Linked DNA regions of Callithrix jacchus. The protein of the gene in region 1 purifies or fractionates together with the protein of each later gene. This does not show direct contact. Links are inferred from orthologs where the notes say so. Each region holds a gene or a part of one and is shown in the gene's direction. Other genes may lie near its edges.

What was found.
Region 2: the proteins of CUL4B (region 1) and COPS7B purify together in Homo sapiens (affinity purification with mass spectrometry; 6 studies listed by BioGRID and IntAct, counting the BioPlex papers as one, with this or other methods). This does not show direct contact. The link is inferred for Callithrix jacchus from reciprocal best matches to the Homo sapiens genes CUL4B and COPS7B.
Region 3: the proteins of CUL4B (region 1) and PHIP purify together in Homo sapiens (affinity purification with western blotting; 8 studies listed by BioGRID and IntAct, with this or other methods). This does not show direct contact. The link is inferred for Callithrix jacchus from reciprocal best matches to the Homo sapiens genes CUL4B and PHIP.
Region 4: the proteins of CUL4B (region 1) and GRWD1 purify together in Homo sapiens (co-immunoprecipitation; 4 studies listed by BioGRID and IntAct, with this or other methods). This does not show direct contact. The link is inferred for Callithrix jacchus from reciprocal best matches to the Homo sapiens genes CUL4B and GRWD1.
Region 5: the proteins of CUL4B (region 1) and DCAF10 purify together in Homo sapiens (affinity purification with mass spectrometry; 4 studies listed by BioGRID and IntAct, with this or other methods). This does not show direct contact. The link is inferred for Callithrix jacchus from reciprocal best matches to the Homo sapiens genes CUL4B and DCAF10.
Region 6: the proteins of CUL4B (region 1) and DCAF11 purify together in Homo sapiens (affinity purification with mass spectrometry; 9 studies listed by BioGRID and IntAct, counting the BioPlex papers as one, with this or other methods). This does not show direct contact. The link is inferred for Callithrix jacchus from reciprocal best matches to the Homo sapiens genes CUL4B and DCAF11.
Region 7: the proteins of CUL4B (region 1) and EZH2 purify together in Homo sapiens (affinity purification with mass spectrometry; 4 studies listed by BioGRID and IntAct, with this or other methods). This does not show direct contact. The link is inferred for Callithrix jacchus from reciprocal best matches to the Homo sapiens genes CUL4B and EZH2.

The regions. Positions count from the first base shown.
Region 1 is NC_133524.1:116,423,972-116,427,657, reverse strand, and holds part of CUL4B (cullin-4B), read left to right. Parts: intron 1-803; coding exon 804-877; intron 878-1,678; coding exon 1,679-1,841; intron 1,842-1,903; exon of another isoform or gene 1,904-2,007; intron 2,008-2,119; coding exon 2,120-2,209; intron 2,210-2,509; coding exon 2,510-2,592; intron 2,593-3,244; coding exon 3,245-3,312; intron 3,313-3,686.
Region 2 is NC_133507.1:153,234,638-153,238,837, forward strand, and holds the start of COPS7B (COP9 signalosome complex subunit 7b), read left to right. Parts: upstream 1-1,234; 5' UTR 1,235-1,389; intron 1,390-1,502; exon of another isoform or gene 1,503-1,728; intron 1,729-4,200. Other genes in the region: PDE6D (retinal rod rhodopsin-sensitive cGMP 3',5'-cyclic phosphodiesterase subunit delta), read right to left, coding at 559-608. UniProt on the Homo sapiens protein: Component of the COP9 signalosome complex (CSN), a complex involved in various cellular and developmental processes.
Region 3 is NC_133505.1:84,280,439-84,284,124, reverse strand, and holds part of PHIP (PH-interacting protein), read left to right. Parts: intron 1-940; coding exon 941-1,578; 3' UTR 1,579-3,686.
Region 4 is NC_133523.1:42,324,978-42,329,231, forward strand, and holds the start of GRWD1 (glutamate-rich WD repeat-containing protein 1), read left to right. Parts: upstream 1-1,285; 5' UTR 1,286-1,308; coding exon 1,309-1,495; intron 1,496-2,004; coding exon 2,005-2,122; intron 2,123-2,300; coding exon 2,301-2,460; intron 2,461-4,254. UniProt on the Homo sapiens protein: Histone binding-protein that regulates chromatin dynamics and minichromosome maintenance (MCM) loading at replication origins, possibly by promoting chromatin openness.
Region 5 is NC_133502.1:144,782,495-144,786,950, forward strand, and holds the start of DCAF10 (DDB1- and CUL4-associated factor 10), read left to right. Parts: upstream 1-1,478; 5' UTR 1,479-4,456. UniProt on the Homo sapiens protein: May function as a substrate receptor for CUL4-DDB1 E3 ubiquitin-protein ligase complex.
Region 6 is NC_133509.1:58,421,784-58,425,956, forward strand, and holds the start of DCAF11 (DDB1- and CUL4-associated factor 11), read left to right. Parts: upstream 1-1,225; 5' UTR 1,226-1,275; exon of another isoform or gene 1,276-1,567; intron 1,568-1,653; 5' UTR 1,654-1,741; intron 1,742-1,833; 5' UTR 1,834-2,043; coding exon 2,044-2,198; intron 2,199-3,261; coding exon 3,262-3,389; intron 3,390-3,608; coding exon 3,609-3,736; intron 3,737-4,008; coding exon 4,009-4,073; intron 4,074-4,173. UniProt on the Homo sapiens protein: May function as a substrate receptor for CUL4-DDB1 E3 ubiquitin-protein ligase complex.
Region 7 is NC_133512.1:98,906,153-98,909,838, forward strand, and holds part of EZH2 (histone-lysine N-methyltransferase EZH2), read left to right. Parts: coding exon 1-65; intron 66-867; coding exon 868-1,046; intron 1,047-3,244; coding exon 3,245-3,340; intron 3,341-3,686. UniProt on the Homo sapiens protein: Polycomb group (PcG) protein. Catalytic subunit of the PRC2/EED-EZH2 complex, which methylates 'Lys-9' (H3K9me) and 'Lys-27' (H3K27me) of histone H3, leading to transcriptional repression of the affected target gene.

The DNA.
Region 1 (3,686 bases):
ACCGTATTAATAGTTAAAAACATTTCTTCAAATGCAGGAATGTTAATTTTTAAAACTTGACAATAGGGAGATTGCTTCAATATCTGTTCCGTTTTTATATTGGAAACTAGTTTTGGTTGAGTTTTCTATTTTAAAACCACAGGTTACAGGTAAACTTGCATTTCAGAATGACTCGCACCTTAGGTTCATTTTTATTTTTGTCACACCAAAAATGTATTTATCTCATTCATTAAAAAGCTACATTTTGTCTGTCACTCTTATTTTTTTTCCTCTCTTGATGGTTTTCCTGTTCAATACTTGATTACCTGTTAAGTTGCCTGATGGTCCTTATTTTAGTTTATTCAGATGACAACCTTTTCCATTTTCCTTAATCTGGTATTAGTTTATATCTTATATTCTACAGATCAAAATCCTAAAATCCATCCCCCCCACCCCCAACTGAAAACTAAAAACCTCACATGTGTAATGTAAGGCAACTTCATTGCCTAGCACTGTGGCTAAGGAAGAATTATATGAGTGTCCCCTTGATTCCCTGTTATTTTTCAATTACTTCTCAGGTAATAAGTCAGAGGGAGGGTCATTTTAAGTGCCTTCCTTTCTAGAAAACACAACAAGGATTAAGACAGTCAAATAATAAAAATGATATGGGCCTATTCTCAGATAGATATGTTTATCTGCATATTAGATCCTAGTAATTAATATATATACAGACGAACCCTTCAGTTTTATTCTTACTGAAAGCAAATATTTCAACTTCACAACGTATAAAAATTGTTTGATTTCTTTTTTTTTTCCATTGGCAGATCATGATCAGGAGCATTTTTTTGTTTCTGGATAGAACTTATGTTCTTCAGAATTCAATGCTACCCTCCATTTGGTAAGGATGCCGGTAAAACATGAAAAGATTGTTCCAAATCATACTCAGATCTTAATTACACTAATGAAAGAGTATAAGCAATACTGTGAATATTCTAAAAATTCACATTTGGCTTCTAGGCTTTCCTTTGTAGCAGTTTTATCTTCCTAATAATCTGTCTTTGCTAATATTGAAGATAGCTAACATTACTATATAACCCTGGGCATATATTAATTTATGAAGACTTTTTTTGTTAAGGGGACTAAAATTTGCTCTGGAATGTCTATGATTGTGATTCAGTTTGCTGCTGATCATCAAGAGTTCACTCATTTAACATTATGGAAAAGTCCATGTATACATGAAAATAGAATGGTATCATGAACTCTTCCCCCTATCATGTACCTATCATCTGCTTACAGCAATGACAGAATTCCCTGCTTCTTGAGTATTGAAACAAATTGATAAATAACCAAATAAGCTTTCAATGCCAGTACAGTGAAAATTGTTTTATGTCTTTGAACTAATTTTGTCTCTTTATTTGAGCAAGAAAGAAATCCATAAAAAGAAATAATACAACAAAACTTAGTTATGGAGGAAAATAGGAATTTAGCTTCAGTTCTCATTAAAGACAAAATGAGTTTCCTGTATGCTTTAATCTAATAATGTTATTCAAAATTAAATATGTGGATTTTATTCTTTTACAATTGCTGCTTCAAAGCCTGGGACTATAATTAACATGGCAACATGTGGTAAGAAGTTAAGCAAACCTCTTCAGAAGTGGTATTGTCAAGTAATTTAGATTATATGTGTTTTTTATTTTAGGGACATGGGACTGGAGTTATTTAGGGCTCATATTATAAGTGATCAGAAAGTCCAGAATAAGACAATTGATGGCATCCTTCTCTTGATTGAGAGGGAAAGGAATGGTGAAGCAATTGATAGAAGTTTACTCCGAAGCCTTTTAAGCATGCTGTCTGATTTGCAAGTAAGTTAACCACTACACATATTTTACAGAGTTGATTGCTATTCCTAGTTTTTTTCCCCCCACATAAGACAGGTAATGTGCTGATGTCATAACAAGGTTTGAAGGAAGCACATCTCATACATGAGCATAAAACCCCAATCAGCATGCTTCTAAACTACAAAAGGATCCTAGTTTGATGTTTAAAAACCAAATCCATAATGCTGTTTACATAGACATATAGGACATTTAGTAAATATTTACTAAGTAAATCATATCCTTCATTTTGTTCTCCCTCCCAGATTTATCAAGATTCTTTTGAACAACGATTTTTGGAAGAAACTAACCGGCTCTATGCAGCTGAAGGCCAAAAATTAATGCAAGAAAGAGAGGTATTTAAAAATCATGACTAATAAATTCACTGTCTCTCACAGTAGACCTTACTTTGTAGAATATAAACTTCCCTTTGCATTTATCTTCCCAACATTGTGATGCTCTTCTCTCACTTAGGTGCTCCTTTCTTTTCTCTCTTCTTAAAGGCCAGAATTCTGGATCATAAACTCTACCTATAATTTTACATATGATTCTACCCTGTCACATTTGACAGGGCTGCTCCCAGGATCTTTTGGACTTGACATTTTCTGAGTGATTTATGGGGAGGAAAACAATAATATAAAAAACTATCTTTGTAGGTTCCTGAATATCTTCATCACGTTAACAAACGTCTAGAAGAAGAAGCAGACAGACTTATTACTTACTTAGATCAGACCACCCAGTAAGTATTACATGCTTAATGTAATTGTCTTAAGCTGTTGTTAAATGACTTGTAGCACTTTAGGCATCCTAACAATTAACTGTTTTCAGTTGTGATTTGAAATGTTAACAGTTGTTTTCATAATGCAAGCTTCAAGTTATTCTTTCCCTAGTTAGTTTTCATCAAGGATTCAATTATTAGGGGGGTGTGTGTGTGTGTGTGTTTAGAATGTAATTTAGAAATAATATTAGAGATTGATATGAACATTAAACTCTTCAGGCCAGTTAAAATTCAGTGGATTCTCCTATTTCTGTGCTCTCCTAAGTATTGTCAATCGAGGGGCTTCTGTAAATAGTATATCTTTACCTTCCTGATAAAAGTAGCAAAACTTGGAAAAAGCCAGCTACAGCAAGATCATGGAGATATTTATTTCATGATGTAAATCGAATTCTAAAAGAGGCATTTAAAAGAATTTTTCCCATCAATTCCTTTGTGTTTTCTTCTTTTAGGTATAAAGTATAGTAACTCTAAGTGCCAATAAATGTATACATAGGATAGGAATCTTGAAATTAACACAAAATGAGCTATTTGATTTTTTTTTTCCTCAGGAGAGGCTTTACATTTTCTGGAATTCAAACGTCAATAATACTAAACTTTTTTTTTTTCCTTGCAGGAAGTCATTAATTGCTACTGTAGAAAAACAACTCTTAGGTGAACACTTAACAGCAATTCTTCAGAAAGGTAATTGGCAATTTGTAAATTAAGAGATTACTTTTTAAATGGTAGTGGCAAACTAGTAGGGAATTTTTTAAAGATGTTGCTCTTTTAAAAGTTTGATAGCATGTGGCTGCATTTCTGAGGATGGACATAATCCTTATTAATCACAGTAAACTTCCTGGAGGTGCCAATTTTCTTATCTGAAAGATACAGGAACTAGAAAGAAGAAAGGGATCCACCAATACCAATAAAGAAACAGTGGTTGATATGTGCCTGTAGTATCAGCTATTTGAATGGCTGAGGCAGGAGGATTGCTTCAGCCCAGGAATTCAAGGTCAGCCTGGGCAACATAGTGAGACTCTCATCTCTTTAAACAAAAGAAAAGACAAAAAATGGGA
Region 2 (4,200 bases), on another chromosome or scaffold:
TGGAAAAGAAGTTGTGGAAACCAGACGGGGGTGGGGTGCGGTGCGGTGGGGGACCTAAGAGAGTTTTAAAAAGCACTGGTAATTGTCCCACACAAGGTCGCCCGCTCCAAGTCACCGTTCCGCGCTCCCCAGGTGGGCTTCCCGCCAGAGGGCTTCTAGTTTGAGAGATCAGCCCACCGCGCCCCCTCAGCCCTTCCCTGCGGGCCGCAGCTCCCTCCCGGCCTCTGGGTCCCGGCCGGGGATCGGAATCCAGCCGGCCTCTCTGACAGCGTTTCCGAAGCCCGGCGCCTCTAGCAGCCCCGTCCCCCAGGCTCCACCGTCCCCACCCGCCACCTCCCGGGGCTCCCGTCAACGTCCCAGTCCTTCCTCCGGACGCCCCTGGGGCCGCCTCTCGCGCCCGGTCCCTCCCGGGGCCGGGCAAGCTGTTCCTTTCCTTTCCCCTCCCGCGGCCCTTCTTCGGTGGGGCCCACCTGGCGCGGCCCCCGCCCCCTGCCAGTCTCCTCAGGGAGCGGCAATCTCCCAAGTCCTCCCGGCCCCGCCCAGCTCCCGGGCGGATACAGTTTGAAGCCCCTCAGGATCTCCCTGGCTCGCTCGTCCTTGGTTGACATGATGCGGCAGTCGCCGCCCGCGGCTTTCTCACTCTGGTTGGCGGAGCCTCGTAGACGGTGCCCAGGAGCCGAGGATGGAGCCGCAGTCCGGCCTGGAGACCTCGGGAGAGCAGCAGCAGCGGCCAAACCCGGACCGGCCTCTTTCTCCCCTCAGCTCCCGCTCCTGATCCCTTCTCCTTCCCCCAAGCCTCGAGTGCCCTCCTGGAACCAATGGAAAGCCCGCCTTGGCAATTGGCAACCCAATCAGCCAATAGGAGCGCGCAGCGGCTTCGCAGGGGGACTGTGAACGTCAATGGGAAGGGCCCACCCCGGGAAGTCCCAAAGGACATAATATTCATCTGGTGTTGTTGCCTAGAGTTTGTCCCAGCGGAGGGTTGCCTTCGGATATGCAGAGGCTTTAGGGACCTGCTCTAGCCGCTGAGCACACTAACCGGCAGCTAGTTGCACTGTGAGACGGCAGCTAGTTGCACTGTGAGATGCGACAGACTACATTTCCCAGCATGCCAGCGGTGCACTCAGGGACCACAGATCCCAGCGCACTACAAAGAGGCCTGGGGACTACAAATCCCAACATCCCCTGCACTCAGTTCCTCTGTAACTTAAGGCTCCAGTGTGCCGCGCAGTGTGCGCAAATTCATAAACCCGCCAGCTGAGTTGGTGGTTTCGGAATCCTGAGACTTGAAACCAGGCGGGAAGACCCTTCTCACCCTCCGAAGAAGATGACACCCGCAGAGAGTCACCTTCTGTTTACATGGAACTCAGACATCTTCTGCAAATCATGGTAAGGCACCAAACAACAAACAAAAACACTGATTGAACTGTGAAAGATAACAAAATGACTTCTTCAAGTCGTGCTTGTTTGTTGGTCTGAGGCGTCTTTTACGTGTTTTTCAGGGGTTTTTGCTGTATTCCTGCTTTGGATCGTGAGAGCTATGGGTTGTACACACGATATCAATACAGAAAGGGACTTTGCTAATCTACACCCTGTTTTTATGTATGAGGAAACTGAGGCCCAGAGAGGCGAAGGGATTGGTCGCAGATCACAGCAAGTTCGGGCGGAGTTAGAATTCGGCCCTAAGTCTGCTGACTTGCAGTCCGGACTCTGCACCACACTAAGGAGGTGATATTTTTAGCAGGATGGCAATGTGAATTCTTATTCTCCTTGAACGGTTTTCCCATCCAGTGTTGAAACACCCAGAGATTAGGTAGCATTTATTTGGTGATTTCTTGTAAGTAAGGGAGTGTGATATTTGTATATTTTCAGCCTAGGTATGACTTGGTGTTTTGTTCTTTGCCACTCAAAGTGACATTTAACGTGATTTCAGGAAGTAGGTAAAATTGCAGTGTGAGCCACGGTTTCCTTGGAGACCTCCTATGTCCTTCTCTTGGCCTTCCTTCCTCTGCCTGTCCTCGCTTTCACCCATCTGGGAACTCACCCAATTTTTTCTTCCATGTAATTCAACAAACATGTTTTCAGCCTATTATTTGTTAGGCCCTGAGTGGGTAAAAGGTGAAGGACATGGTCACTGCCACCAGGAAGATAAACAAAACATCTATTTAGAGAAATAAGGAGACTCCACTGAGATTCAAGATGGAGTGTGGTAAAATGGCATAAAGAAATGACATCAGAATGCTAAGGAGGCCCTGATAAAAAGATTCATTACAGCTGGCAAAAGTTTAATGAGAAGGTGACATTTGAGCTTGAATTTTTTTTTCATGTTAAAAAAGTTTTTGTTAATGAGGTGTAACGTACATACAGTAAGGGAACAGTTTTCACATAGGTATACACCCCTGTCCCTGCTGCCCAAATCAAGATAAAGAACATTTCTAGCATGCCTAGTGCTCCTTCCCAATCAGTATTACATTCTTACATATTGAGATAATCACTCTTTTGACTGTATCACCATAGATCAGTTTTGCCTGTTGTTGAATTCCAGTTAAATGTAATCATAGAGTATGTACAGTATGTGTCTGGCTTTTTAACCTTGTCAGTATTTTTGTGAAATTCATCCTTGTTGTGTGTAGCCTTTTAACTGCTGAATAGTATTCTGTTGTATGCATATATCATAATTTATCTTTCCCACTGTTGGTGGGCATTTGGGTTGTGATTTTTTTGGACTATTATTAGCAAAGCTGTAGTGAGCATTCTTACATGTATCTTTTTGTAAACACTTGCACACACTTCCAGGATAGGAATTGCTGGTGTGTAGGGAGGGTTTGCACATGATCTGTGATAGTAGACATTGCTAGTCTTTCAAAATGATTGTACCAATTTACACCTTCACCAGAAATATGAGAGTTCTAGGTGCCTCTTATCCTTGTCAACACTGGATGTTTGCTGTCAGTCTTCTTAATTTTAGCCATTCTAGCTGAATGTGGTATCTCATTAAGGTATCTATTTACGTTTTTCCTGTTGAGCACCTTTCAATGTGCTTCTTGGCTAGTTGAATGTCCTCTTTTGTGAAGTGCCCGCTCTTTTTCTGACTTTTAAAAATTGGGCTGTCTTCTTGCTGATATGTAGTTCTTTACAGTCTGGATATGGAGTTCTTTGATATATGCTTTGCAGATGTCTTTTCCAAGGTGTGGCTTGTCTTTTCATTCTCTTACTGGTGTCTTCTGAAACAAATTATTATTATTTCAAGGAATGGGGTCTCTGCTGCGTTGCTAAGGCTGGAATGCAGCGGCTATTCACAGGTACCACTACAACCTTGAACTCTTGGGATCAAGTGATCCTCCTGCCTCAGCCTCCCAAGTAGGACTATGGGCATACTCCACTGCATCTGACAAGCAGAAATTCTGTTTTTGAGATGGAGTCTTGCTCTGTGGCCTAGGCTGGAGTGCAGTGGCACAATCTAGGCTCACTGCAATATCTACCTCCCGAATTTAAGTGATTCTCTTGCCTCAACCTCCCAAGTAGTTGGGACTACAGGCTCCTACCACCACGCCTGGCTAATTTTTATATTTTTGGTAGAGACAGGGTTTCACTATGTTGGCCAGGCTGGTCTCAAACTTCTGACCTCGTGATACGCCCACCTTGGCCTCCCACAGCGCTGGGATTACAGGTGTGAGCCACCGTACTTGCCAGAAATTCTTAATTTTAACATAGTGCAAAAGTTCCATGTTTTCTATTATGGTTAGTGTTTTTTGCATTGGATTTTAGAAATCTTTGCTTGTAGAGTTGGTAGGATTTTTACAGGAATATATAAGAGCATTACAAAAAAAGAGAGCAAGCTTGAGCACAGGCCTGGTGTCTGGGAAGGAAGGTTTAAGTTGTGCCAGGCATGGGAGTTTGGACTGTGAAGCGGGTGGGGTGCAACAAAGCAAGCTCGAGGAGTTAGGAGGGAGGCACACTTTGAAGGGCTTTAACTACAGCCATGGGCTGGGTGTGGTGGCTTACACCTGTAATCTCAGCACTCTGGGAGCCAAGATGGGAGGGTCACTTGAGATCAGGAGTTGAAGACCAGTCTGAGCAACATAGTGAGACTCCATTTCTAAAAAAAATAGGAACAAATTTGCTGACTGTGGTGGCACACATCTGTAGTTTTACCTACTTGGGAGGTGGAGGTGGTAGGATCCCTTGAGCCCAGAAGTT
Region 3 (3,686 bases), on another chromosome or scaffold:
TCGAACCCCTGACCGCAGGTGATCCTGCCCGCTTCAACCTTGCAAAATGCCGGGATTACAGGCATGAACCACCAGGCCCAGCCAACCATGATTTTCTTATTTACAAAGTACAGTTCAAACCTGTGACCAAAAAAAGTGTTGTGAGGAAGTACTCTCTTTAAAAGCAGTTTTCCGTCTATGAATTTCCTAAAAAATAGTGCATTGCAAATCACCTACCATTTAAAATAAAAACATGTCAGAAATTTGGAGGGAAAAAGAGTGTTACTGTTCCTATGGCATATTTTTCCTTTATCTAAATCACAGAATTTTTTTCTACAGCAGAAACGTAATTCATGATCTCTAGATCGTACAGGTTTAGAAATTGATTGTCAGCATTTTCTCTCTTTTTTTGTTTTTTGAAGCATAACGGCCTTGTATCATGGAGTTTGTTACAGTGGGATCTTAATCATGATAATGGTGGCACACATGGTGATTTTGATTGATATATATAATCAGTATTTCCTAGGATTATAGTTATCATATATTATATAAGGAGATAAGACTAAGAAGCCTCTGAAGAAAATCTGCCATTTAGTTGTTTTTGAATCCTCTTGAAACAGTCTCAGAACAAAGTTTGTGACCAAGAGTAACTTATTTCTAAGTTAGGAATAAGAAACCTTTGGTTATCCCAGCTTTATAATCAATCACAATATTAACTTAGATAAGTTATTTATTTTCTGTGAGCTTCACCTCCCTCATGAGATCATTAAGAATCTCTCTTTTAAATTAGAAAATAAATAATATCATTGAGCTGTTTCTAGGTCCTTTTTTCCTCATTTTAATGAAATAATTTGGGTTATATCATTACATATAAGTATACCAATGGGGCCTTATTGACAAGTTTGAGGGTCAAACAACAAAATAAATTCCATATATTAAGTATATTGTTGTTCCCTTTTAGGAGATTGTAAGAACAACGTTCTTGTACCAGGAACCATTCAAGTAAATGGCCATGGAGGACAGCCATCAAAACTTGTGAAGAGGGGACCTGGAAGGAAACCTAAAGTAGAAGTTAATACCACTAGTGGTGAAATTATACACAAGAAAAGGGGTAGAAAGCCCAAAAAACTACAATATGCAAAGCCAGAAAATTTAGAGCAAAACAATGTGCATCCCATCAGAGATGAAGTAGTTCCTTCTTCAACATGCAATTTTCTTCCTGAAACTAATAATGTAAAAGAAGATTTGTTACAGAAAAAGAATCGTGGAGGTAGAAAACCGAAAAGGAAGATGAAGACACAAACACTAGATTCAGATCTCCTAGTCCCTGCAAGTGTCAAGGTACTAAGGAGAAGTAACCGAAAAAAGACAGATGATCCTATAGATGAGGAAGAAGAGTTTGAAGAACTCAAAGCCTCTGAACCCCACATGAGAACTAGAAACCAAGGTCGAAGGACAGCTTTCTATAATGAAGATGACTCTGAAGAGGAGCAAAGGCAGCTGTTGTTCGAAGACACCTCTTTAACTTTTGGAACTTCTAGTAGAGGACGTGTCCGAAAGTTGACTGAAAAAGCAAAAGCTAATTTAATTGGTTGGTAACTTGTACCAAAATATTTTACTTCAAAATCTATAAAGCAGGTACAGTTAAGGAATAAGTAGAAAGAAGGCTTCTGCTTCCTTGCTGCTATGGTGGAGTAGGGAATGTTATCATTTAATTTGCAAAAAAAAAAATAAACAAAAGCAAAACAAAAAAAAACTTACAAGACACTTCACTTCTTTAAATGAATATATATATATAAATATATACATATATATTTTAAATGTTTGCTATTTATTGCCCTTAGATAGGTTATGCATTTTCACATTCATTTCATTCACTGTTTGAAACAAAAGAAATTGATCTATAATGATTTCCCTGATTTATTTATAGAAAAGACAGTTCTGCTACACTCTTTAGGAGCATAATATTCCTAGTGATAGAGCATTTCATGTTAAAATGAATCATTTTTGACCAAGCAAGGTACATTTCTATTGATACAAGTCATGCCTCTAAAAACAGATGTTATACAGAGTAGCAGTGAATTAAGAAATGTTTCCTCTAAAACATAAATACAAAATTTCCACCATTTGCTACCCTTAAAAGTTTAATTTTAATTATAGAATGTTCATCTGCAAAGTATCTAAAGGAGGCTTTTGCTTTATTCCATTTCTGCCAAACTTAAGAGAAAATGTACTGATGAAGGGAAACATATCCACATTGGAAAACGTTTGACTGTCTAATTTTTCAGACCTTGATTCTTATATCACTCAATCTCTGTTTATTGTGCCAAAGACTGAGAATCAGTGCAGTGGAAAGCCTGTTTTTGACTGTCAGGACAGCATACACTTTTCGATATTGGAAAGGCTATATATTCTAAAGAGCAAGTTATTAAAGAGTTGTGCTGAGATATATCTTTTTTTGGTACTAATAGAAAATAATGCACTGGTGGGTCCTTTGACAGAGATGTTATAGAGGAAATGTTTAAGTGGTTAAAGGATTCAAGGAAAATACAGGAAAAAAGGTATGGGATTTGATGTTTACTTGTTGATCTGGATTAATGTCATTTCTAAACTGTAGACATATCTAATAGGCTAAAATGACTTAACAAAGAAACATGTCTGTGTGTGTATGTGTATATATTGATAAATGGGTATAATTAAATATATATACAAACACATATACTATTACCCAGGTATAAATTCTTTTTTCAGGATTTTTTAGATAGCAGTAGAATAAAAATAATTTTAAAATGTCATACTTTATAGTTTGATTTTAAGGGAGAAATTGGTTATTTTCAATTATTAAAGGTTAAAATAGGCCAAATCACTTTTTATGCAATCATGTTTTATACAGTGGTCTCATTGCACATTGTGTTTTTTCTGCACTTTTTACGGTATCCTTATCATGCTGGTATGTCAATATACACCCTAAAGAAAAACTCCATTTAATGATTGTGCCTTGTATTCTATTATTTTTTGCATCATTAGTAAAATTAAGTTGTCTATTGTAAATGATAACTATATGACTTAGGAGAATGTATTGCTATATGTACTGCTATGGAAAAGGAAAGCAGTTATTTATTTGTTTATGGTACAGTTAGTTATTTTATACCTTAAAAACCAACATAACTACCATTTCTATTGTTTAAAAATTACTGTCCATTTTTTAAAAAATTTAAAGAATGTAGTATTTTCTGAGGACTGGTATGGTACAAAAATGTAACCAAAATTTTCAGATACTACATTTTTAAGAAGTGAGGATGGGGAAAATATGTATCAGCATGACTCTGATGTGGAAAAATAAAGTCTGCAATTGAACCTTGGCAAAATACATTATATAATATTTCTTTAATTATTTCTGATAAGGATAAATATTAGCTGTCATTTAACTGTCTTGAAGAATGCAAAGTGATACATTTGGGCTTTCTAGATCATTTGTAACTCAATTTGTACAGAAATTCTCCTGTGAAATTAAGTAAACCATCTTCCAGATCTTGACTGCATTGCTGTGATTTTGCAGTTAAAAAATAATTTCAAAATTTTCAGATTTTTTGTATATTTATTTTTCTCTAACAAATATATTTAACTATAAAATTAAAATTCAATAGTTACACTCTTCGTAATGCAGAAATGGTTGGCTGGATTGTATAGAAAAATGAGTCTTTCAG
Region 4 (4,254 bases), on another chromosome or scaffold:
AACCTGTCGCACCTCTAGACCACCCCACTTGCCACCAACCACATCCTCTCCAAATCCAATCCTTATTTGCGACCCTTCAGTGATGACCCAGCAGACCTCCAAAAAGCCTCCTCTTCCCAGATCTCCAGCCGGGTCTGGGGCTGGGTTGCGGAGGGGAGGGTCTGGGAGTCCACACTTCACCAACCTCCCTTCCCACTCTTCTATTCCACATTGCAGTGTTTGGAATAAACCATGTTTTTATGCCTCCTCAGTCCAAGCCTGAGCTCCGTGTCTGTTAGCCCCCCTCGACTTCTCTGGGGGAAACAGAAACACAAAATTCCCATGGGAAGAGGTGATATTATTAGAGAGAAGAGACTCTGAAAGGAGGCGGGGAGACAAAGACCAAGAAAGAGGCAGTGGGAAGAGACCCTGGAAAGAGAAATCGAGAGGGTACTGGGGCAGATAGAGACCCCAAGAGAGGGGTGAGCTAGATCCCGGAGACAAAACATTTTAGGATCAAAGGTATGGTTTTATTTCCTATGGCTACAGGCACCAAGGCTTGCTAGATTCTTAATATCCTGTTCATGCAAGCTAGGAGAGTTGTCTGACATATCCCAACCAATCCGCATTATCTTGAATGCTGTTAATCTCACCAATGAGAATCTATTTCTAACATTTCATTATGTCAATTAGCCAAACCGCTGGTGCTGATGGACGATAAAGAGAGTCGAATCACTTGTAATAGCTGCCCCCAGAGGGTGGACTATCTGATTAAGTGCTCGCTGACCAGAGCCTCAATGTAAATGTCTAGTTAGGCAATTGATTGCCCCTAGAGGGTAGATTGAACCGCCTAACTTACAGATAATATCCATCCTGTCTACAGGAAGGCATTTTTGAAATAAGTTAAAGCCATGATAACAGGGAGAGAAGAAACCGGCCTTATGGGTCCTCAGGGAGCAGAAACCCAGTCTCTTTGCCAGTGAGAAAACAAATTTGCATATATGAATAATTAAGTAGAAGGAATGCTCTGGGAATCAAAGTGAAATATAGGCATAACAGGCCTCCCTTAGAACTACAACTCCCAGAGGCCCTTGCCACTACCGCGAGGAACAGCACCCAAAGTCACGCGAAGATGCAATTTCTGCGTATCCTCAGTCTTCTCCCGGGGGCGCCATTTCCTGAGTTCTCCCGCCTTTACGCACTACCCTCTCTAATTAGCGGTCGCGGAGGTTTCCAAGGTAACCTCGCAGTACGGCGGATCTCATTAGAAGGAAAGCAAAACCCGGAAGTGACGCTCTAACCGGGCGTCGGCGATAAGAGGGTTCGAAGATGGCGGCGCGCAAGGGTCGGCGGCGCATGTGTGAAACCAGGGAACCCATGGAGGCCGAGTCCCGCCACACAAGTTCCGAGGGCCCGGCCCAGGTCTACCTGCCCGGCCGGGGGCCGCCGCTACGCGAAGGGGAGGAGCTGGTCATGGACGAGGAGGCCTATGTGCTATACCACCGAGCGCAGACTGGTAGGGCTGAGAGTCCACACTCCAGGGTCTTGAGGTGGTTGATCCCGAGCCTTTTTTTTTTTTTTTTTTTTTTTTTTTTTGAGATGGAGTCTCTTTGCTGCACAGGCTGGAGTACAGTGGCTCGATCTTGGCTCACTGCAACCTTCGCCTTCCGGGTTCAAGTGATTCTACTGCCTCAGCCTCCCGAGTTGCTGGGACTACAGGCGCATGCCACCACGCCCGGCTAGTTTTTTGTATTTAGTAGAGACGGGGTTTCACCGTGTTAGCTAGGATGGTCTCGATTTCCTGACCTCATGATCCGACCGCCTCGGCATCCCAAAGTGCTGGGATTACAAGGCGTGAGCCACTGCTCTCGCCCAGATCTCAAGCCTTTAACCTGAGAGGTGCTCGGGAAGAGAAGGCTGGACTCTAAGGTGATTTCACATCAGAGGCGGTTGATCCATGAGGGAGGTGGGGACTGAGATCTCACTGTCCAGTCTTAACTCGTAAAACCCTCCTTCCATCCCCAGGCGCTCCCTGTCTCAGCTTTGACATAGTCCGGGATCACCTGGGAGACAGCCGGACAGAGCTTCCTCTTACACTTTACCTGTGTGCTGGGACCCAGGCCGAGAGCGCCCAGAGCAACAGGTAAGACCCGAGGCTTTTCCAGGACCAGGAGGCTCAGTTTCCAGCCCCTTCCTTAGGACCCAAGAGTTAGGGCTTCCAGTTGCTGCCTGTCCCAGACCCAGGAGTCTGGGTTTCCAGCCTGTCTCCTTCCTAAGAATCCTGAAATCTAGTGCCTAACTCACCCCCCACTTTCTACCAGACTGATGATCCTTCGGATGCACAATCTGCATGGAACTAAGCCCCCACCCTCAGACAGCAGTGATGAAGAGGAGGAGGAAGATGAAGAGGATGAAGAAGAGCAGAAGCCTCAGCTGGAGCTGGCCATGGTGCCCCACTATGGTGGCATCAACCGAGTTCGGGTAAGCATGGTCCCAGGAGCAGACATGGTCCCAGGAGCCTGCTCTGCATTCTCTGAAACACACCAGACCCATTCCCTATGTCCATAACTCTCCCAACAGCTCCTTGTGTCTTTCATTTTTTTTTTTGAAATGTAGTCTCGCTCTGTTGCCCAGGCTGGAATGCAGTGGTGCGATCTTGGCTCACTGCAACCTTCTCCTCCAGGGTTCAAGTCATTCTCCTGCCTCAGCCTCCCAAGTAGCTGGGACTATAGGTGCCTGCCACCACACCCAGCTAATTTTTTATATTTTTAATAGAGACAAGGTTTTTGCCATGTTGGCTAGGCTGGTCTTAAACTCCTGAGCTCAAGTGATTAGCCTGCCTCGGCCTCCCAAAGCGATGGGATTACAAGCATGAGCCACCACACCCAACCTCCTTCAGTTTTTAGAAAAGTCCAGCTGGGGGGTCCAAAGTGGCTCCCGCCGGAGCTCATGGCGCTCGCGAAGGCGAGGTCATCAGTCCAAGGCTAACCTGAGCCACCTCATAAGCTCAAACTGATTGGCAAAAAAAAAAAAAAAAAAGTCCAGCTGGGTGTGGTGGCTCACATCTATAATCCCAGCACTTTGTGAAGCTCAGGTGGGCGGATCACCTGAGATCAGGAATTCGAGACCAGCCTAGCCAACATGGTGAAACCGAGTCTCTACAAAAAGTACAAAAAATTAGCCGGGCATGGTGGCATGCACCTGTAATCCCAGCTGTTCCAGAGCCTGAGGCAGGAGAATTGCTTGAACCTGGGAGGCAGAGGTTGCAGTGAGCCAAGAACGCGCCACTGCACACCAGTCTAGGTGACAGAGCGAGACTCTATCTCAAAAAAAAAAAAAGTTTGAATGGTCAAGGCTGAGCACTCATGCCTGTAATCCCAGCACTTTGGGAAGCCCATGCAGAAGGATTGCTTGAGACCAGGAGTTCCAGACCAACCTGGGCAACAAAGTGAGACCCCATCTCTACAAAAATTATGTTTTTTTTTTTTTTTGAGACAGAGTTTTTCTTGTTGCCCAGGCTGGAGTACAGTGCACGATTTCAACTCACCGCAACCTCCACCTCCCGGGTTTAAGTGATTCTCCTGCCTCAGCCTCCCAAGTAGCTGGGATTACAGGTGCACAGCACCACACCTGGCTAATTTTGTGTTTTTAGTAAAGACAGCGTTTCTCCATGTCGGCTCTGGTCTTGAACTCCCGACCTCAGGTGATCTGCCCACCTTAGCCTCCCAAAGTGCTGGGATTACCAGCGTAAGCCACCACACCTGGCTACAAAAAACTGTGAAAAGCTGGATGTGATGGTGCTCGCCCATAATTCCGCCTACTTGGGAGGCTGAGGTGGGAAGAGCACTTGAGCCCAAGAGGTTGAGTTCAGGGCTAGTGGGTAACTGGAAACCTTGTGGCTAGACTGGGTATCATAGTGAACAAACACAGAGGCAAAGAGATCCAACGACTGAACCTGTGGCCTTCCAGTGTTTAGAGGGTTACAGAGATCAGGAGCCTGAAAACACTGCCATGGGCTGGTGGGAATTACAGCCTTGACTCCCAGGCATCTTGGAGCTCTGTCCTCCCACCTCAGCTCCCCCACCCCCATCCTGTGGAGAGCCATCCCAGTTACAATGCTGGTTTGACAGGCTGTGGTGTCCTTCCCACAGAGGTTTCTAGGAGCCGTAGTCCCTGCCCTGGGGGATCTGGGGAACTGCGCCTCTGGTTCTCTGGGATGTGGGGAGCTTGCAGTCAGTACCCTGATCATCCTTTCCCCTTGCTTCACATCAGCCT
Region 5 (4,456 bases), on another chromosome or scaffold:
CCTCAGCTCACTGCAATCTCTGCCTCCTGGGTTCAAGCAATTCTCCTGCCTCAGCCTCCTGAGTAGCTGGGACTACAGGCGCATGCCACCACACCCAGATAATTTTTGTATTTTTTAGTAGAGACGGGGTTTCACCATGTTGGCCAGAATGATCTCAATATCTTTACCTTGTAATCCGCCTGCCTAAAGAATTGAAATGGCACCCCACCCATTTTCATGGTTCAGATGATTTTATATTGTTAATGGGAGGTCATGGCAGGAGCACTGCTTGAGCCCAGGAGTTCCTGACCACCCTGGGCAACAAAGTGAGACCACATCTCTACAAAAAATAGTAATTAAAAAAAATCGCTAAGATAACACTATTGCCAAAATTGAAATACAGATTCAATCCAATTTTTTTTTTTTGAGATGGATTTTCGCTGTTGTTACCCAGGCTGGAGTGCAATGGCAAGATCTCAGCTCACCACAACCTCCGCCTTCTGAGTTCAAGCAATTCTCCTGCCTCAGCCTCCCGAGTAGCTGGGACTACAGGTGCGCACCACCATGCCCAGCTAATTTTTGTATTTTTAGTAGAGATGGGATTTCACCTTGTTGACCAGGATGGTCTCGATCTCTTGACCTCGTTATCCACCTGCCTCGGCCTCCCGAAGTGCTGGGATTATAGGCGAGAGCCACCGCGCCCAGCCCCAATTTTTCTTAAAATCCCAACTGACTTCATTGTAAAAAATGACAAATTGCTCCTAAAGTCTGTAAGGAAATTCAAGAGACTCAGAATAGCCAAAACAATCTTGAAGAACAAAGTTCTTTTGTGAGAACAAAAGAACTTAAATGTCTGATTGCAAAACTTACTACAAGGCTATAGTAATCAGGACAATGCTGTATAGGCCTAAGGATAGACAAAGATTAATGGAATAGAATTAAGACACAGAAATAAACCATTATCTTCAGCTAAAAGTTGAGAGATGGGAAAAAATATTTTTAAAAAACCCTTGATGCACAGACACTTTTCAAATGAAGACATTTATGCAGCCAACAAACATGAAAAAAAGCTCATCATGGCTGGTCATTAGAGAAATGCAAATCAAACCACATCGAGATGGTAACCTCACGCCAGTTAGAATGTCGATCATTAAAAAATCAGGAGACAATAGATGCTGGAGAGGATGTGGAGAAACAGGAACACTTTTACACTGTTGGTGGAAGTGTAAATTAGAACCATTGCAGAAGACTGTGGCAATTCTTCAAGGATCTAGAAATAGAAATACCATTTGACCCAGCAATCTCATTACTGGGTATATACCCAAAGGATTATAAATCATTCTATTATAAAGACACATGCACACGTTTATTTTGGCACTGTTTACAATAGCAAAGACTTGGAACCAACCCAAATGCCCATCAATGATAGAATGGATAAAGAAAATGTGGCCTATATATACCATGGAATACTATGCAGCCATAAAAAAGGATGAGTTCCTGCTCTTTCCCCAAGCGGCCTGAGGTAATCTGTGAAAATGGTTCGCTATTCACTTGATCGGGAGAACCCCACAAAGTCATGCAAATCAAGAGGTTCCAATCTTCGCGTTCACTTTAAGAACACATGTGAAACTGCCCAGGCCATCAAGGGTATGCATATACGAAAAGCCATGAAGTATCTGAAAGATGTCACTTTACAGAAACAGTGCGTACCATTCCGACGTTACAATGGTGGAGTTGGCAGGTGTGCCCAGGCCAAGCAGTGGGGCTGGACACAAGGTCGGTGGCCCAAAAAGAGTGCTGAATTTTTGCTGCACATGCTTAAAAATGCAGAGAGTAATGCTGAACTTAAGTGTTTAGATGTAGATTCTCTGGTCATTGAGCATATCCAAGTGAACAAAGCACCCAAGATGCGCCGCCGGACCTACAGAGCTCATGGTCGAATTAACCCATACATGAGTTCTCCCTGCCACATTGAGATGATCCTTACTGAAAAGGAACAGATTGTTCCTAAACCAGAAGAGGAGGTTGCCCAGAAGAAGAAGATATCCCAGAAGAAACTGAAGAAGCAAAAACTTATGGCACGGGAGCAAATTCAGCCTTAAAATAAATGCAACTAAAAGGAAAAAAAAAAAAAAAAAAAAAAGGATGAGTTCCTGTCCTTTGCAGAGACATAGATGAAGCTGGAAACCATCATTCTCAGCAAACTGACACAAGAACAGAAAACCAAACACTGCATGTTCTCACTCATAAGCGGGTGTTGAACAATGAGAACACATGGACACAGGGAGGGGACCATCACACACTGGCGCCTGTTGTAGGGGTGAGGGGGGTAGGGGAGGGATAACAGGGTGGGGGGATTGGGGAGAGATAACATTAGAATAAATACCTAATATAGATGACGTGAGCATGGATGCAGCAAATCACCATGGCACGTGCATACCTAGTAATAAACCTGCAGGTTCTGCACATGTACCTCAGAACTTAAAAGTATAATAAAAAAAATTTTTAAAAACCCTTCATGCTTATGATCAGCTAATTTTTGGCAAGGATGCCAAGACAATTCAATGGGGAAAGAAGAATAATTTCAACAAATGGTGTTGGCACAACTGGATATACACATGCAGAAGAATGAAGTTGGACCCCATCTTAAACTATATACAAAAATTAAATGAATAAAAGACTTCAATGTCAGAACTAAAATTATAAAACTCTTAGAAGAAAATATAGAGGCAAATCTTTGTGACCTTGGATTTGACAGTGGTTTCTAAGACACTATACCACCAAAAGCACAAACATTCAGGAAAAAAATTGAAAAAAATCGACTTCATCAAAATTAGAACTGATAACTCACTGAATGGAAGAAAATATTTAAAAATTATATGTCTGATAAGGGACAAGTATCTAGAATATATAAATACCTTTACAACTCAATAATAAAAAGACAGATGACCCAATTTAAAGATGGGCCAAAGATTCAAACAGACATTTATTCAGAGAAGATATATGAGCAGTCAATAAGCATATAAAAAGATAGTATCATTAGTCATCTGGGAAATTCAAATTAAATCACAATGAGACATCATCTCCAATAGGATGGCTGTAATCAAAAAGACAGATAATAACCAGTGTTATTGTGGATATAGAAATTTTGGAAGACTCATCTTGTGGTAGAATTCTAAAATGGTATAGCCACTTTGAAAACTGTTTGAAAAACAGTTTGGCAGCTTCTTAAAAAGTTAAACATAAAGTTACCAGATAACATGACAATTCCAGCTGGGGGCGTGGTGGCTCATGCCTGTAATCCCAGCACTGTAGAAGGGCTGGGCGGGATGTTCACCTGAGCCCAGGAGTTCGAGACCAGCCTGAGTAACAGAGACCCCATCCCATCTTAGAAGAGAAAAGAGAAGAGAGAAGAGAAAGGAAGAAAAAGAAGAGAGAAAAGAGAAAGGAAAGAAAGAAAGGAAAGCAAGGAAGAAATGGAAGGAAGGAAGGAAGGAAAGAAAGAAAGAAAAAGAAGGAAGAAAGAAAGGAAAGAAGGAAATAAATTCCACTTCTAGGATGTAGTCAAGAAAATTGAAAGCTTATGTTTACACAAAAACTTGCACATGAATGTTCATAGCATAATGATTAATAATAGACAAAAGTGTAAATAATGCAAATCCCCAGCAACTGATGAGTGAATAAAGTATGGTATATCACATAATAGAATATTATTTAGGCCTAAAAGTAACTAAATGCTAATATGTGCTACAATGTAAAATTAACCTAGAAAATATTATGCTAAGTAAAAGGCCATATATTATATTACTCCATTTATATGAAATGCCTTCAAACCCACGGAAATACAAAGTTGATAGTTAGTTGTCAGAGGCTGGAGAGAGGGGACAATGGGAGTTACTTTGTTTCATGGGTAGAGTTTCAGTTTGGGAAGATGAAAAAGGTCTGGCTATGGATTGTGGTGATGGATGCACAACAATGTGATGTACTTGGTATCACTGAACTATATACCTAAAAATGGTTAAAATGGTAAATTTTACGTTTATATATATTTTACCACAATAAAGAATTATTTTCACAGATAAAGGAGAGAGAGAGAGACAGAGAAGATGAATTGAATGTGGCAAAATCCTAATAATGGAAGCTGGATGATGGGCACACAGTTAATTTTTTTTAATACTCTTCTCTAATTTTGTGTGAAAATTTTTCATAACTAAAAACATAATATGGAGACAGGCAAAATAGATGTCTTCTTAATGACAATTCAGCCTGATGGGGCAAATACATGGAAAAACTTGTTGCAAAACAAATAACAAACACAGCTTTGACCATGCCTTTCTCCTGCCTGAAAGTCCTCCGAAAGCACCTTATCACCTACAGAGAAAAAACTAAGACTCTCTGTGACCCTCTCCTCTGCTCACCTTGCTGCCCTCATCCTGCTTTTCCCTGACTTTCCATTTCTTGAGCAACACCAAATCCC
Region 6 (4,173 bases), on another chromosome or scaffold:
ATCCGGCAATACGTGATGGGCGCCCGCCTACATAATCAGTGGGGCCAAGCGCAAGATGAAAATGCCCGGCACTTGCTTTAAAATTATTAAGAATTTCAAGACCGTTAACAGTAGAACATTAAACCAAGCATTATAGATGCTTCCAAGCATACGGATGCAGAGTCCATCAAGGCTAGTCCTGGTGACAGGCTCAGGTCTCGGGGTCTGGAGACCAGGAGACGTCGCTCGAAAGCTGGCCAAACCCTCGCCCTCACTGAGAGAGGCCCCAGAAGGGACCAAGAAGGCAAAGAGCCCATCGATGCCCTCAGGAGCGGGCGGAGGGACGCTCGCAGCTTTCCCAAGGGAGTGCAGGCTGCGGGGACTGAAGTTCAGCTCGGATCCTGAGCCTCTGAGCGCGGGACAACAAGGTCGTTCAACCCACATGCCTCCCCACCCAGCGTGGCCGAGGATCACAGATGTGGCAATTCCCGGCCTTGGACTCAGGCTTGTTACTCAACCACCGGCGGGTGGGGACAGGAGGCAGCGCGAGCACCCTGGACCCGCGGCCGGGGGCGGAGAGGCACCGCAAGGACACAGGGTCTAGGGAAGGTCTGCAACTCGCGGAGGGCCAAGGAAGCGTCTAAGGGGACTGCCGGAACCGGAAAAGCTGTGAGAGAACAACGCGAATACTAGGGAGCGTCTGCAAAGACCGCAGCGGAAAGCCAGGGATTGTCTAAAAAGTTGCCGGAGCGGTTAAAGGGAGGTCTAAAATGGGGCAGTCCCAAGAACAAGGCTTCCAAAAGCTAAGCCAGGAAGGAAGGTGTGGAAGCCTACTGGGACGCCGAGCACCCCTGAGGACAGGACTGGAGCTGCAGCCGACGACAGGAGAACGGCTCTAGCTGGACGGAGGAAAAAGTGGGGAGAAAGGAGGGGAGGCCTTGGGCACTGTCTGAAAAGTGCCCAAATGATTTTTAGGGACAGACAGTAAGTTGTATCCCTTGCTAAAATATCTCTCGGTAGTGAACCACCAATTTTTTTAACCCCTGCCTTTCAGCTATTACGTCTAGTTCGGCTGTCTCTGATCCAAGAAGCTGCCAGTTCCCACTTACTCCTCCCCAACAAGGGCGAAAGGCCCGCCTCCGGTGCGCACTTTCTCCTCCCCTCAGGCCCCTGGCGCATTCTCTCGCCTATCTATCAATCACGGCGCTCCGCTGTCCAGTTGGCTGGCCAAGGGGGCGGGACCGTCGTGTGACGTTTGCAGCCCGCCGGCCAGGAAGCCGCGAGATGTGTGACGAGGTAGGCTCGTGACGGAGGAGCGGTTGGCCAACGCAGCGGCGGCAGTTGGTGTAAACAAGGCCTCGCGCCACTGCGGGTCCTGCGACCGCTCCTGGCTGGTGGGTGGTCTCCCGGGGGGCGGTAACTGCCGGCTTCAGTGGGAGGTGCTTCTCGGCTTCCTACCCCTCTTGGCTTACACACCCCCGGCGCACCACGTGGGCGTGAGGCAAGGAAGAAGGGGGGGTAGGCCAAATTTTATTTTCATTGGCTGTCACTGCTGCCGGCTTTCCTAAGGAAGCGCTCTGATTGGTCGGTAAGAGGGGGCGTCGAGGGTCTTTAAGTCTTAAGGCTTCTAATTGGTTAGATGAGATAAGCTAGTGGTGCTCATTCTTTCTCGAGGGGCTTCGATTGGTCTGTCAGAGAGGTTACCTGGGAATCCAACACCGCCCAACAACCCTTCCGCTCCCCAGTCCTGGGACTTTAATAGGTGAGTTTGGTGTAGAAAACTGAGAAATCTTTCTCAAATTGGTGAGGTAGGGTGACGCCCTTCGCTTCACTCTCTCTTTCTTTGCTTCACAGGATTGGAGAAGGTTTGTGTTCCCGACGCCTTGGTAGTTGGCATAGGCTAAAGAAAAGGGATCTCAGCCCCGAGGAAGGGTCACCCTCCTGGAGATAGCTACCCCATCTCAGGAGACCCTGGTATTTCTAGAGCACGCTTTGCTTTCACCAAACCCAAGGAGGTGACAGGAGGAGCCCCCGCACAGAACCTAAGAATGCTGTGACCAAAAGATGGGATCACGGAACAGCAGCAGTGCGGGATCCGGGTCCGGAGACCCCTCCGAGGGTTTGTCCCGAAGAGGGGCTGGCCTTCGTCGGAGTGAGGAAGAGGAAGAAGAGGATGAAGATGTGGATCTGGCCCAGGTACTGGCCTATCTCCTCCGCAGGTAACTTACCCTCTGGTGTGACCTCACCAGGTGCTACCACGGTCCCTTGATCCCAACTCCAGGCAGGAAAATTACAGAGGTTAGGAAATGGGATTTGCCCAGAACAGCCGTTCTGTTTGAGCAGAACAGCCTTTCCCTATTGGGCACCCATGGCACACAGCTCCATATCCAGTAAGAGTGGGTCTTACCTAAGGAGGGTCACCAAGAGGACCTGCTCATGTGTTTGAGGGACTATTCAAGGGAGCCTCTCTCGCTGTGACTAAACAAATATAATCTATTTTCCAAGTAAGTTTAAAACAAAATGGGGCCTGGAGGGAAAGGAGTGATGTAAGGGGTGAAGAGATGGGAAGGGAGTGTTGAACTTTTTAGTAAGGCATTGACGCGTGATGTGAGGCCACTTTGATTACTTGAAAAACAAGTTTAAATTGCCCTGACCTGTTCTTGAGGAAAGAGTACCTTGAAGGGAGCGACCACCTGGAATTGACTGGAAGAGTGCAGCTAGCTTTGTTTCTTTCCTTATGGCTATTTGGGGAGAAGATGAGCATGGGGGTCCCTTCTGAATATTGTAGTCTTTTTTGTTTGTTTGTGTTTTGTTTTGTTTTCAGTAGACATAGACAGGATCTCACTGTGTTCCCCAGTCTGGAGAGCAGGCTATTCACAGGTGTGATCACAGTGCACACCACATCCTGGGCTCAAGCATTCCTTGCCTCCCAGGTAGCTAAGACTACAGTTGCACACGCCACTGCTCCCAGCTTAGAATATTGTGTTCTGTGGTGGACTTCTCAGGCAGAGGCTCAGAAGGAAACACTGTGAGAATGTTTAGCTCGTTGGGAGGTCAACTTAGTAGGTAATGTCCACAGCGTGTTGCTTTTGCTCTTGTTCTAAAAGTAAGACTCACTTTCTTACTGTGTTTTATAGGAAACTGAAAATAATAGCCAAGGTCTAGTCAGCCTGAAACCTCAAAATGAGTACCAAGTGGTCTAAGAGCTAGATAGCCATTGACTCTGAATTTGTTGGTTTGGGGGAAGAAGTCCCCTCCTTTATACTGGGGGTCTCTCCACAGAGGCCAAGTGAGGTTGGTGCAGGGAGGAGGTGCAGCAAATTTACAATTCATTCAGGCCCTCTTGGACTCAGAGGAAGAGAATGACAGAGCTTGGGATGGTCGTCTTGGGGACCGATACAACCCACCTGGTAAGAGGAAAAGGCCCTAATGTTGGAAGACTTTTACTAGAAAACCTATTAGTGATACTTTGAATAATAGATTACATTAAAAGAAGGTGCAATAATTTAGGGAATAAGGAAGTCCTTATAACCCCGGTATATTCAGCCACAGGGGTGGGCTTGGGTACAGTTCTGCTAACTATCCTCTGAGGCTGAAAGACCTAGGATGAAACTTCTTGGTACTCACAGTGGATGCCACCCCTGACACCCGGGAGCTGGAATGCAATGAGATCAAGACACAAGTGGAATTGGCCACAGGGCAGCTGGGGCTTAGGCGGGCAGCCCAGGAACACAGCTTCCCTCGAATGTTGCACCAGGTAGGCCTCTCCACCTCCCAGCCTGGCAGCAGGACTACCAAAGCAGCCAGAAGCTCTGCCAGCCCCAGAGAAAAAGAAAGTAAACTTTTCAAGGAAGTCTCAAGGGCTAGTGCTGGAGAGTTAACTAGCTTCCATCAGAGTTCTATGGGACAGACCATGGTGTGTTGTGTCTATTTCTATAACAAGAGCAATATCCTTGGTGGAGGGGGCTTGATACGGCTGAAGTGGCCCTCTGTTTCTGCTAGCAATATTCCCTAATCCCTTCCATTTAGAGAGAACGGGGCCTCTGCCACCGGGGAAGCTTCTCCCTTGGAGAACAGTCTCGAGTGATATCTCAGTGAGTATGGGGCTTGGTGAAGAGACTCTAAGGGCCAGATAAGTCTTATCTCCTAAAGTTTGAAGGGGTTGGTGTTAAAAGAGCCTTGAAGATATTAAAG
Region 7 (3,686 bases), on another chromosome or scaffold:
CAGTTCGTGCCCTTGTGTGATAGCACAAAATTTTTGTGAAAAGTTTTGTCAATGTAGTTCAGAGTGTAAGTATTTGTTGCTTTGATGCAATTGCATGAGAACTAAATAGGCCTTTGGTCAGCAATTTAAAAAATCAAAAAGTGAGAACACAGGAGCACTCCCTTGTTTACTTTAGGAAATTCATCGATTCTACAGGTATTGATTGAGCCCCATACCTGGCCCCTGCCAGTGACCAGTCAGTTGCCTGGGTGTTGTGTGTCTATGTGTGTGAGGCAGGCAAAGTTGTATTAAAGGAATCCGAATTTTATTTTTTTCTTCTTTGATCATTTAAATTAAGTCATATTAAAGTCGGCACAGATTGTAAGAGAAATCTAGAAGGAGCTACCCACATAATTTTTGGGCACCAGAAGTTGTCAGAGTTTAGGAAGGTTTTAGTCTTCAGAATAAAGGAATGTAGCACAAATGTAGGGGATTATAATAATTGTTTAATGAAACTGCACATTAAGCTTGAATACTAAGGGAGTGTTTAGAACCAGGAGCTATTAGAATGGTCAAGGACCATGGATATTGTTTCATCCAAACCCTTTATTCACACTTACTTTAAATATATACATTATTTAACAAATGAAAAATGGAAGAACAACTCAATGGTGGTCTTTTTCAGTACAAACAGCTTTAACTTCGCTGTTAATACTTCCATTTCCTTGTCTATACAGTAGAGTAATAAGGCGGTTGTGAGGGTTGAGTCAGTCAGATGCTCAGTACAGCCCTTGCCACATATCTTTCTGCAAGTTCTTGCATATGGTGATGATTGTGATAGTCATGGTGTTGATGATGAGTGAAGAACCTCCACACCTCTCTCTGAAGGTCAAAACCGCTTTCCGGGATGCCGCTGCAAAGCACAGTGCAACACCAAGCAGTGCCCATGCTATCTGGCTGTCCGAGAGTGCGACCCTGACCTCTGTCTTACTTGTGGAGCTGCTGACCATTGGGACAGTAAAAATGTGTCTTGTAAGAACTGCAGTATTCAGCGGGGCTCCAAAAAGGTGAGCAACAAGTTGCTTCTGGAAGGTTGTTTTTAGTGATGCTAATCTCAGGATTGTCTTAGATGATTTCACTGGGGCAAAAAGTAAAAGTGATCCTTGAAAGGTACAACTGATAAGAGAGAAAGCGTTGATAATTTTCTCTGGGTAATGCACTCTGGGGCAGTCTCTTCATTCTAGAGAACACCGTACTGTGTTGGTGGGAGAAACCAGCAAATTCTGAGAAGTAGCCATTCATGGTATCAGATTTGAAATAGGAGCTGTTTAATAGAGATTTGAATTTCTCTTTATCTAGTATCCTTAATGCAAATAAATGGTGATTTCTATCAAAACACAGAGTCATTCTCATCAGATAGTATTTATAGGTTCCTTACTATGTAGGGTAAAAGATGAAATTTCCCACGGCAGGTTTTTATTTACTTAGTTCCTGTTTAATAACCTTGGAAAAAACCCAGCCAGGAATTATATATTTGAATTCTGGGAATTGTATGTAGGTAATTTTAACTGTATCAGTCAGGAAGTAATTATTGAGCAAAAGAAACTGCAACAACATGTATTTGGGAAATTTGTCTTTTTTTTTTTTTTTTAGGGTAGATGATAGGTTTTTCTCTTCAGTCAGTTCTTCTTATAATAATAACTGACATTTATTAAGCATGTAAAAATAGCAGGCACTGTTCTAAGTGCTTTAGTGGATTTGTTCATTGATCTTGATAACTCTGTGAGTGAGGAATAAATGTTAACCCCATTTTACCGGTACAGCAAACCCAAAGTCACAAGATTTGTAAAGGAGCAGGAGATCAAATCCCCCAGGCACTCACTCCCATTAACCTGCTCTTATGCTGCGTGTGTGTGTGTGTGTGTGTGTGTGTGTGTGTGTGTGTGTTGGGGGGTGTGGAGTAGACATATCTTTGATTGTTGGACCATTTATTTATGATTGAGATCACACTTTTTACCAACAAGTCCCCTTCAACCAGCAGTTCTGCTCCAGGCAAAACACTGAACTTCTCTTTGTTTTGTTCCCTTGTGTCTTTAAACCAAAGTCTGTGTTTATGGCAGATAGCTGTACAGGGTGGCAGGTTTTTTGTTTTTGTTTTTAGCTGTGATTTTTTTCTCTTAGGCATTTAAATCATTTTACTCTAGGCAGTTATATATCCATTTAGGTCATTGGGTCATGGTGATGCTGGTTCAGTTTCTGATGGCAATACCCATTCAGACCTAAAAATCTCCATTTCTCCCCCAAACAACTTGCCATTGCACTGCTTCCTCAGTTTGTTCAGAAAGAGGGTAATACTATTGATACTGACATGTCCTCTTTGTAAGACATTTTTTAGCTCTTAAAAATGTTAAACTATGTAGATACTTTTTTACCAATTAGGTTTCATTTGCATAGCAATATTTAGCTATAATTTAGTTTCTGCACAGAAGAGTATTTGGGAAGTTCACCTCACAGGTGAGTGGTAGGATGTTCCAGAATAGGAATAGATTGGAAGCTTGAGTGATCAGGAAGCCTTTGTAAAGGTCATAAGAAAATTTTGAATGAAAGCATAATAATGAGCCATGTTGAAAAATTGGCATGTGTTTGGGAACACATCCCTAACTCTATAATTTACTGCAGTGATCATCTTGGCCTTTCTGCTGAAAATAGACTACTGGACTGACAAGATCATGATGCCACCTCTTGGTAGATTTTCCTGAGGAAGTAGGGTGGAAGAACAAATTTAAAAGAAAGCTGCTGTGGGCTTCAGAGGGAACAAATGCCAGTGAAGAATCGGGGTGTCCTTGGGGGCATCTAGAACTGGTAATAGATGTCACTTGACGGAAGTAGAGGGAAAGTTATGAAGAGGAAGGTGATTTGGAGGTGCCCTTATATTAAATTCAGGATGAAAGTAAATTACTTAAGAAAATCAAGGGCTGAGGAGACCAGGCAGCCAAAGTGCAGCAGTAATGCAAACAACCAACAGCACCAAAAGTTTTTTCTGTAAGACAGTGATACTTCTCTGCTCTGTAAGAAAAACATAATTTTCATACTTAGCCAGCCATTCTCAGCAGCTTTCACACTGACTGAAGGTATGTGTCCATTACTGCCTTAGAACAGGTCTGAAGATTGACAGCAATAGCCTTGTTTTTATTCTGTAGTCTAATTTGTCCCTAGTCCATCTTTACCCTCTTCTTTGATTATATGATTGTGTTTTCTTCTCTAGCATTTATTGCTTGCACCATCTGATGTGGCAGGCTGGGGAATTTTTATCAAAGATCCTGTGCAGAAAAATGAATTCATCTCAGAATACTGTGGAGAGGTAAGCACTGATCACCTATATTCAGGTGGCATTGTATATAACAACTTTTCTTTATTTTAGATTGATTTCATTTGGTAGGTCTGTGGGTTTGATTGGAAATGAATTGCCATAAACTGCCTTTTCAGCCTGGACTTCTGCAGGTTGTGGATTTGCATGCTTAGTAACAACTGGATGGTGCTGGGTGCGGTGGCTCACTCCTTCAATCCTAGAACTTTGGGAGGTTGAGGCAGGTGGATTGCTTGAGCTCAGGAGTTGGAGACCAGCATGGGCAACATGGTGAGACCCCATTGCTACAAAAAAATGCAAAAATTAGCTGGGTAGGGTGGTGCATACCTGTAGTCTCAGC